2 linked regions of the Oryzias latipes genome follow. The protein of the gene in region 1 binds, or shares a complex with, the protein of each later gene. Links are inferred from orthologs where the notes say so. Each region holds a gene or a part of one and is shown on either strand. Other genes may lie near its edges.

Region 1 (4,614 bases):
CGGACGACACCACTCTTCAGGCGACGAACGACGCAGCCGCACCCCATCCGGAGCGAAGTTAGTAAGTGCCGGCAGCAGAGGGTGCTACCTGTGTTTACATTAAAACTATGCCCTTCATCTCTTCGCATCGCCTATATCCATTTGGGTTTCAGGTTTGGATCCACAGGAAAATAATGAAATGAAAAGTAAGGCTGTTTTTGGTAGGAAGACGAACAGCCTGGAACGCAACAGAGACTGCAACTCTTCGACTCTGCCATTCTTCATATCTGCTGCTACGCTAACAGGAAGTTGTTTTACACGTCATTGACGTATTTCCGGTCGAAAAATGCGGAAGTGTGAAAAAGGTCTATTACCACAGGCACCACTGTCACCTTCACTTTCCAGGCTTTCTCCAGTTCTTCTCTGAGTCTCTGGTATTTCTCCAGTTTCTCATGTTCCTTCTTCCTGATGTTCCCATCACTTGGCACTGCCACATCCACCACAACGGCTTTCCTCTGTTCTTTATCCACCACTACAATGTCTGGTTGGTTCGCCATTACCATCCTGTCAGTCAGTATCTGGAAGTCCCACAGGATCTTTGCCCTTTCATTCTCTATCACCTTCAGAGGTGTTTCTCTTTTTGACTTTGAGGTTTCCAGTTCATATTCTGCACACGTGTTTCTGTATATTATTCCAGCCACTTGATAATGGCACTCCATGTATGTTTTCCCTTGCAGCATCTTCAACCCCGCAGTTATGGTGTAAATGGCGTACACTTACAGTATATAGCGCTTTTCTACCTACAAGGCCCAAAGCGGTTTACAAACACAGACCCATTCACACACTGGTGGCGGCAGATTTATAACTGTAAACAATAAATCCTTGTTTATTTCTGAATAATGGTGTGTGTTTTGTCTATGACTTGATGCGTACTGATGGAATGCTGTTATCATACAATGGGTTTGTAACTAAATACAAAATTAAGGATTCTAGTAACTGTTATAGCAAAGTCTGTTAAGCAATTACCATACCTTTACTTAATCTTATTCATAACATATTACAATACAATGCAATCAAACCACAATTTCCAGAATTAATGGAAAAGTTAATGATATTCCCCTAAAAGATAAAAAAGGCAACAATAAACTCTAACCTTTAAACAAATAATTTTCTGCAACTTTAGCATAAACAATGAACGCGACTTAGAAACCACCCTAATGGACAAATCTTTTTCTTTATACACAAAGTACCCACTTCCACCTAAAATGAAAGAAACGCATTTTAAAATAATATCTAAAATTTACCCTGTTGGAGATTTTTTACATAAAAGATTCAAATTTCAATCAGAACCACGCATATTCTGTTCATCTGAAACTGAAACGTAGAACATCTCTTTTACAGTTGCAAAAATATTTTGGACTGATATTCACAGTTGGTTGTCACTCAAAGTTTTAAATATTCCCTTTTTTTCCTTATCTGATGTTCTTTTCTATATGAAAAATCTGGACCCGGGAATTTCTTTTTTTTCTATATGCGCATTTATAACGTTTGTTCACCCTTACTTGGTCTGTATGAGCATTTAAAAAAAACAAAACAACAAAAAACAACGTCATACCGAAATGTCACATACCAGGAAGTCGAATGCTCAGTTTTGATTGGTGGCTCACTGGACCCGGGCACGCTACAGCGTTTTGATTGGTGGTTTGGTTTCAAATGCGTGACCTGATTGGTTGTCAGAGGAAGTAGGGCTCGGTGATCTCAGCTGAATCCGGAACCAAGCCCTGATCGAAGGGCGAGAATTTGTTTCTTCAGCTGAATCATATGCAAGTATAAAATAAACGTCAGTTACCTTGTTTCGTAGTTTCAAATGTCGATTAAACGCTATTTTAAATATGCAACGCAACGATTTCATCGTTTATAATCTAACGCTTAGAAGTTAGCACGTTTAGCTAACACGTTAGCATCGTTCCGCTACGTGTTGTTGGGAATGTCACTCTGTGATGTAAAATTCCGTTAGCAGAACGTCGCTCTGGTAACATTGTTGTGGTTATACTATCAATATGTTAACGTTGCGGCTTCATGTTTGTCTATAAGTCAACATCTGCTGGTTAGTTAAATAAGCGTACGGGTCTTATGGTGTGCGTCATGTCAAAAAAAAAAAGCAGCGAAATCCTAACAGTTCTGTATATACTTTACTAGTCTGTATTATAATTTTGTGTGATGATTTTAATAAATGTCAGCTTTTTAGTCTGTGCGTTTTAGTAAGTTTTGAAGCGTGATTGCATTCTCCCTCCGACCTACATTTGGAGTTTTAGATTGAATTATTCATGTTAAATAACAGTTTGTGGCCTTTTTCAAATTTCCTTTTCTTTTTTTGCATGCACAGTTTTAGCTCAACATCAAAGCCAAGCCTTCCGCCTCAAACATGTCCTACGGTAAAGCGGAGTTCCGCCCTGTCCCGAGGGACTTTGGCTCCCTTATTCAGACATGCAGCTCCAACATCCAGAAGATCACACAGAACAGTGAGTCCTCCATTGCTGGGAGCTGAGACTCATTGTTAGTCACTGGCTCAGGAAGAAGTCATGTGAGAATGCTTACAAGAATCGTGATGATCTGCTGCTTAACTCAGGCCTGTTCAGGGGGGGAGATCCAGGTTAAGCAATCACATGGCTAATTCATCACAAGTGCTTCAGGAAAATACACTATTCTAAATGTTCAGGTTTGCTTCCTTTTTGAGATGTGTACAGTAAATAAGTGCTTACATTCTTTGGTACAAAACTCACAAATTAAGTTGCATTTTCTGCTGTCTATACAAGAATGGACACTAAACTATTTCTTAGCTCGTTTGCTTCTGCGGTTTGGATTGGTTTTTGTGTTTTTTTCTGTGTTGTTGTTTGATATCTGTGCACACAGATGATCCCTGAGTAAAGGTTTTGGAGATTAAGATTGTTTCTGTTTTCCTGACAGCCGCACAGATTAAGACCATGGTGAACCAGCAAGGGACAAGGCAAGACTCCAGTGAACTTCACGATCGTCTGTATGTCATCATTTCTTGTTTCATTTTTTTCTACCAGTTTTAATGAAAACACAGGCAGATGGAGGTTTTCTAGCTGGTTAACATCTGATGCAAATATCAGTGTTATCTTTGTTGGTAATAACCTCCTAATGAGGCTGAATATGAGACCAACACTGATGCAATTATTCAATAAGGCACCCTGACTTATGTTTAAGACAATATGAAAAAAAAAACTAACACAGCCAGTTTGCTTTACATGCATTTCTTGCACACACTGTTGTTAATCATATGTATTGAGAAGTAAAACCTTTAAAATTGTTATAATTCAGGCTTTTTGGTGACAAAATTTGGTTTCAGCTACAAAACCTACATCTACTGACCCAGGAGTCCTCCTGCTTTGCACATTTAAGTGATGCTGTGAGACCAGGAAGAGGTTAAATGACTGTTGCTGGTGGTTGTGGAGTAAACTTCAATAATCTCTTTTGTCTTCTGCGACTAAATGAATGTGTCACACTTTTTGATGGCGTGTTTTCACTTTGCAAAGAATTTTAAAATTTTGATTTATTTCAGAGCTGGTAGAAAAGCTCTATTATTTGATTTAAAAAAAAATACTAAGAAAATTAAAAATTTCAAGCTTTATTTGAATTGAATTGACAATAAAAGCAATTTACAGATGCATTAACAGTAGTGCATTACACATTGAGTGTGCTTTAGTGTGGAGCAGAATGGCTGGGACTGTAATAGCCTGAATCTGGGAAGCAGCTTCTTCTTGTGGCTGATGTTCAGTCCTGTTTTTATTGATGCACAGTTTTCTCTGCAGGCAGCAGATCCAGCACTACACTAACCAGCTTGCGAAGGAAACCAACAAACACCTTAAAGAACTAGGCTCTGTCCCTGCGCCTCTATCCCCCTCTGAACAGGTAAGTGGGAGTTTGTTGAAACGTCTGCATGAAGACCAAATCCTGAGTTTTTACCAAAACTGTCTCCCCTGACTGCAGTATTCCAAACACGGTGTGCAGCAGTACTTCAAAGTATTTTTGCAGCAGAAAGGTTTAACTGGAGGGAGATGGTTTGCTGTTGTGACCTCTGAAGTGATCAGATATTAGTAAAAGAAGGCGATTCTTGTAGTTGAGATTTGCTAATTTTTTGTTTTGTAAATTTTAAGCAGGAGATGAAAGCCGAGTTTATGTATAAACGATACAGAGGAAGCAGGGATTTTTCCTGAAAATCTTTAGGAAAAAATAGGAGTTAAGTTACAATGTTGCTGCTTGAATGTTGGAAAGTGATTGTCAGGATTGAACTTTAAAATCTTAACCGTTATCTAAATGCTTTTTTAAAAAGTGTCTCCTAATGTGCTTTGGGTGCTCTGCTCTGTCCAGAGGCAGCAGAAGATTCAGAGAGACCGGCTCATGAGTGATTTCTCTGCGGCGCTCAACAACTTCCAGGCGGTTCAGCGACACGCAGCCGAGAAAGAGCGGGAGTCCATAGCCAGAGCCAGAGCGGGATCCCGCCTCTCAGTGAGTGAGACTCAGGAATGGATTCACACAACACCAGGAAAAGTGTGGAAAACAACCACAATATTCCTTATTTTTCCTTTTACCTGTTAATCATCAGCATTT
Region 2 (4,589 bases), on another chromosome or scaffold:
TTTTTTTTAACAAACAATAGTTTCCATAGTTTATTTGCAGTTTACATGTTACCTGTTACACTTGCGACAGTGGTGGGATCTGGGTGCCTTGTATCCTTGGCAAATCCTGCAGTATTGTAGGAATTGGGTATCTTTTGGGTTTTCCTGTTCAGGAATGCAAATAATAGGTAAGGTGCCTGATGTACCTTTAGTGGATTCGAATGGTTTCATTGTTTTTAGTATCAATATACTGTGAACTCAAACAGTCATCAGTGAAAAGAAGCAAAACTCTTACTGGTTTCCAGCCAAGAGGAATATATCCAGGCCCAACAAACATGGCGTTGAAGTAGTTGTAAAGGATAAGAACAGTCCAGTTTAAGAGCATGAGGAAGTTAATGCTGCCTGCAGTGGTGTCTAGAGGCCAGTACCAGATGACTGAGTCTATGATTGCCATGGTTGAACATATAGCAATGACAGAGAGGGCTATGATTGGGCCCCAGTGGCACAATCTTCGAACCTCATGGAGGTTCTCGAATCGAACTAACGCTGAAAGGAAATTCATATTCGTCCCACTGGAAGCTTAAGAAAATGTTCTTTTTTTTTTTTTTTTGTTGGGGACCTGAAATGTTTGGACTCTGCCTGAGTGTGCTACTTGTTTCTTATATCTTGCAAAGTCAGCAGTGCACACATTTTTATTTTCATCTTTCAAGAATCCAACTACATCCCTGGTCTGTGGTCACCCGGCCTTTCCGTGTCCCGGTGTGTCTTGCCCTTGAAGAGCGCAGCATGCTCCCCTCTCAAATCCTGAAGCACAGGAACCTTGTGAGAGTCCGTTTACCCATCTGATGGAGAGAAAGAGAGAAAAAAAGGGGACAAGCATTTATCATAGAGTGCTAAAAGAAAAGGCTATATTTCCTCTTTATATATGCAAAATAGGTGCTATTTATCTGGAAAACAGGTAGTTGTGGGTCACATATTGACTCCTATCTTTATATAGAAATCTATATATTCTAAAGAACGACATAACTATAATGAAAACACTTTTAATGGTCAAATTAATTACGTTTTATTGTTTTTTAAAAACAGAGATATTGGAAGGGTGAAGCTTTGAATGAAAGAAGAAGAAACTCCATGCACAACTAATTAGCTTGTCAAGTCAAGCTTAGCTAGCAAATTCAAAACAACATTTTAAGCTAATTCCAACAAGTTTCTCTATGTATCAGGAATTCATACATTCATACTAACATCTTGCAAAATTGTAATTAGCTTGGCTGTTTAGATAAACATGTTTCGGCTTAAGAGTAGATGCATGCAGCAGGTAGCGAAGAAGTGAGGTTGGTTAGTTAGCTAGCTCGTTCACCATCTTCCACTACCAGCACTGACAGGAAAACCATTTCAAACTCGAAAAAAGAAAGATGAATCAAACATGACACACGAACGTAAAGCTACGTAGAAATAAACACATTGAATAGTGTTTCAGTAAATAAGCTGTCACTTTAAATTAGTTTAACCTTACCACTTGCACTTCGGATTTTTGTTTTCCTCCCCTATGTGCCCTGAGAACCTTCCTAGTTGCGTCTCGGATTGAAAATCCGTCAACTACAAACAGTCAGATCAAATTTAAAACAAAATGAAAAAATATATGTTTTGTTAAATAACACAACAAAGAGATAGGCGTGATAGTTTTCCGAAACCCTCTCTCAGTAGTAGCGCCAACAGAACACCCAGTTCCTAGCCGGACACCTTTTAGTGTGACTCAAGGAAGAAGCTTGTTATTATTTTGAGCTAACTGTCAGCCCTAGAGCTACTTTGCTACCTAAACGTACTGGTCAAAATGTCTTCAGACTTTGAATCCTACGAGCAGGACTTTGGAACGACTACAGCCGAGTTAACAAATAAAATCGGCAGAATTCCCAAACTAAGTGGAGGTAAGACTTTTACCATTTTAGCGTCAATTAATGATGAGCTGGCAGGCTAGCTAGTAGTAGCAAGAAAGCCTCAGTTCTAGTAGAAGGTGTAGCTTTAATTGTTAACTCTAACTTGTTTGAAATCGTTATAAATATATTATGTTGATACATTTACACGTTTATATTCGCCGTGTGACTCAGTTACTGTGCTCTTTCTGTAGGAACAAAAACAAGTGACCGACTACCTGTGGTTATAATAAATTAATGGTAGAGGCCAGTGTCAAATAGAAACATTATGTCAAATTTATATTATAGATTTTAAGATTATAATTTAAAACCAAAGTTGTTCTTTAGCTTTAAGCAACTGGTTTTAAAGTATTAAAATATTTAAGAAAAATACTTCTAGATTCTACAGATGGCAAGAAACTCCTAACCCATCATAGCTGCTGCCTGTTTTCTGTCAACTTACATAATAGTATTAGAACTGTGATAATCTCTATTCTCTTTTACTATTCTAACATCTTAAACACTTTTAAAATTTAACATCATCAATAATTGTGTACTTAAGCTTCATTTAATTGACTAGAAACATATGTACTTTCCTATTTAAAGTACTCAGTTTAATTTATATCCCAGGGTATTTACTCCACTAATTTGAGAATGGGTTTCAACACTACTAAAAATGTCACTAACATAACAAGAGAGCATATGTGTTCAAATGAAAACAAAAGATCCAAAGTGGAACGTGCATTTTAATAATATTTAGTGGTCTACTACCATCAAATAGTCACCATTTTAGACTTTTACATCCAATGTTTGAAAGCACTTCTATCAATTCTTCTTAAGCCTCTATTTCTTATTTATGCATTTAGTTTTTCTTTCCCAACTATTGCTTAACTTCTGTTAACTTACTGTAGTAAATGAAAACCTTTTCACGATAATTTTGAGGATTTAACTGCAAACCAATACCCTTAGCAAATCAAGTTGTTGTGATATGTCATAAGGTTTTTAATCCCAGTGGGATATGATGCAAAAAGACAATGATTATATTGTACACATGCCTCAGTTAGTTCACATAAAACAATCAAACCATATAGTGTTGGAAGTCTGAACCTAATCATATTATTTACTTAAAAAATATGAACTGCACTGTCATGGTAAGCAATAAAAGAGACACTGTACATATTTATCTCACTTTAAACACTTCTTTGTCACATATGTCCCTGCATATCCATGAAGATGAAGACATTTCTACAGCATATTTTAAATTAGTTGCACATCTTTATTATGTCAAAGCACGAGGAGGACATGTGTTGGTCACAATTTGTGTTTCACAGTAAGACCATATTGTATTTGTCACTTTATTTATGGCACTTTGCTTTGTTTGTATAAGAAAGCATTACTACGGCAGTTATATGGATCACCTCACTGAAACACTTATATTGCAGCCTATACGGAATAATATGCAGTTCATATTGTAACTGTCACAAAATAGTGTGAGCAGATTTCAGATAAGTAGCATATAGTATATTATAAGAATGATTAAGTATGAATGAAGAGTGAATGAATAATGGACAAATTGTTAGCGCTTTGAGCACCAAGAAAAAGCACAGATAAATCTAATGAATTATTATTATTATTATAAAAGACATGAATGAATACAAATTTAAGTCTTTAATTGTAAAAAATCTAACAGAACTAAAAAAAAAACTTAAAAAAATTCACCTGAACATGTGAAACAATGTACTGCTGGTTAAATGCGTAATAGCAATAGACCGGTCAGTTTATTTATATGGCGTCTTACTATGACCGTATAAAACAAGGAGCTATTCATTGAAACTCAACACATTAAAACAACAGTTTAAATGATAACACAATTTAAAAGTTAAATAGTAAAATATTTATAATATTGGAAAATAAAAACACAGTCAAAATAAAACACACCAACAGAGCAGCGTCTAATGGGCAAAAGCCTGGCAATAAAAGTTTTCAGAAGCTTTTTATAAATAGACTGTGAGGACGCTTAGCGAGGCATTCCTCACCTTTGGTGCACAGACTGAAAAAGCCCATTCCTCCTTTAACTTTCTCTTGAACTTTTGTACTCTAATCAGAACCCAGTCAGCTGCCATGAGGCACTGACTGGCATGAAGGGAGAGACAGGCTCAAAGAGGCACGGTTAATTAAAAAAAATTAAATGAAACGGAAGAATCTTAAAGTTAACGTCCAAAATGCACTGGCAGCCAGTGAAGGAAAGCTCCAATTGGGGCGACGTGGTCCCTCTTTAGTGTTCTGGACCACTTAAAGAAGCGGAAGGGACAAGAGGCTGACTCTGAAAGTTACAGTAATCCATTTTAGTTTCTGATGAAAGCATGGATTACTGTCTGAAAGTGTAGTCTTGATAAACAGCGTCACCTTCACCAGCTACCTTAAAGAAAAGAAGCTATACAAAGCGAATTTAGCTATCACGTTTAAAATCACTGTCCGTTTCTGACCTAGATTTGTCCCAGACTTTTAAATGTGAATCAGGAGAATCAGATCTACTGTGGAGGGGTCACACGACTCACTTTAAACTGTCTAAAACAAACTAGGACATAGTTAATTATTTGTTTTTCTAGAAAATCCTATAATTGATAATGACACAGATGTTCTGGTTTGGATGTGATATCTTTGAAGAGTCATGCGTATTTTGAAGAGTATTTGTAT

What was found.
Region 2: the proteins of stx12 (region 1) and vti1a are in contact, whole or in part, in a crystal structure (PDB 2NPS), measured with the Rattus norvegicus proteins. The link is inferred for Oryzias latipes from reciprocal best matches to the Homo sapiens genes STX12 and VTI1A. Residues at the interface, in NP_075228.2 of Rattus norvegicus: Glu185, Ile188, Gln189, Leu191, Glu192, Ile195, Leu196, Val198, Asn199, Phe202, Lys203, Leu205, Ala206, Ile209, His210, Gly213, Ile216, Asp217, Glu220, Val223, Glu224, Ser226, Glu227, Val230, Glu231, Ala233, Ser234, Asp235, Leu237, Gln238; in XP_038945999.1 of Rattus norvegicus: Arg131, Arg134, Ser135, Arg138, Leu139, Ala141, Gly142, Ile145, Ala146, Glu148, Thr149, Ile152, Gly153, Met156, Asn159, Leu160, Asp163, Arg166, Arg169, Ala170, Arg173, Leu174, Glu176, Thr177, Asn180, Leu181, Lys183, Ser184, Ile187, Leu188.

Annotation. Positions count from the first base shown.
Region 1 is NC_019869.2:17,750,741-17,755,354, reverse strand, and holds the start of stx12 (syntaxin-12), read left to right. Parts: upstream 1-1,686; 5' UTR 1,687-1,802; exon of another isoform or gene 1,803-1,819; intron 1,820-2,365; 5' UTR 2,366-2,404; coding exon 2,405-2,501; intron 2,502-2,946; coding exon 2,947-3,016; intron 3,017-3,815; coding exon 3,816-3,915; intron 3,916-4,374; coding exon 4,375-4,512; intron 4,513-4,614. UniProt on the Homo sapiens protein: SNARE promoting fusion of transport vesicles with target membranes. Together with SNARE STX6, promotes movement of vesicles from endosomes to the cell membrane, and may therefore function in the endocytic recycling pathway.
Region 2 is NC_019877.2:9,985,553-9,990,141, reverse strand, and holds the start of vti1a (vesicle transport through interaction with t-SNAREs homolog 1A), read left to right. Parts: upstream 1-1,709; 5' UTR 1,710-1,813; coding exon 1,814-1,907; intron 1,908-4,589. Other genes in the region: palmitoyltransferase ZDHHC6, read right to left, coding at 53-144, 275-541. UniProt on the Homo sapiens protein: V-SNARE that mediates vesicle transport pathways through interactions with t-SNAREs on the target membrane. These interactions are proposed to mediate aspects of the specificity of vesicle trafficking and to promote fusion of the lipid bilayers.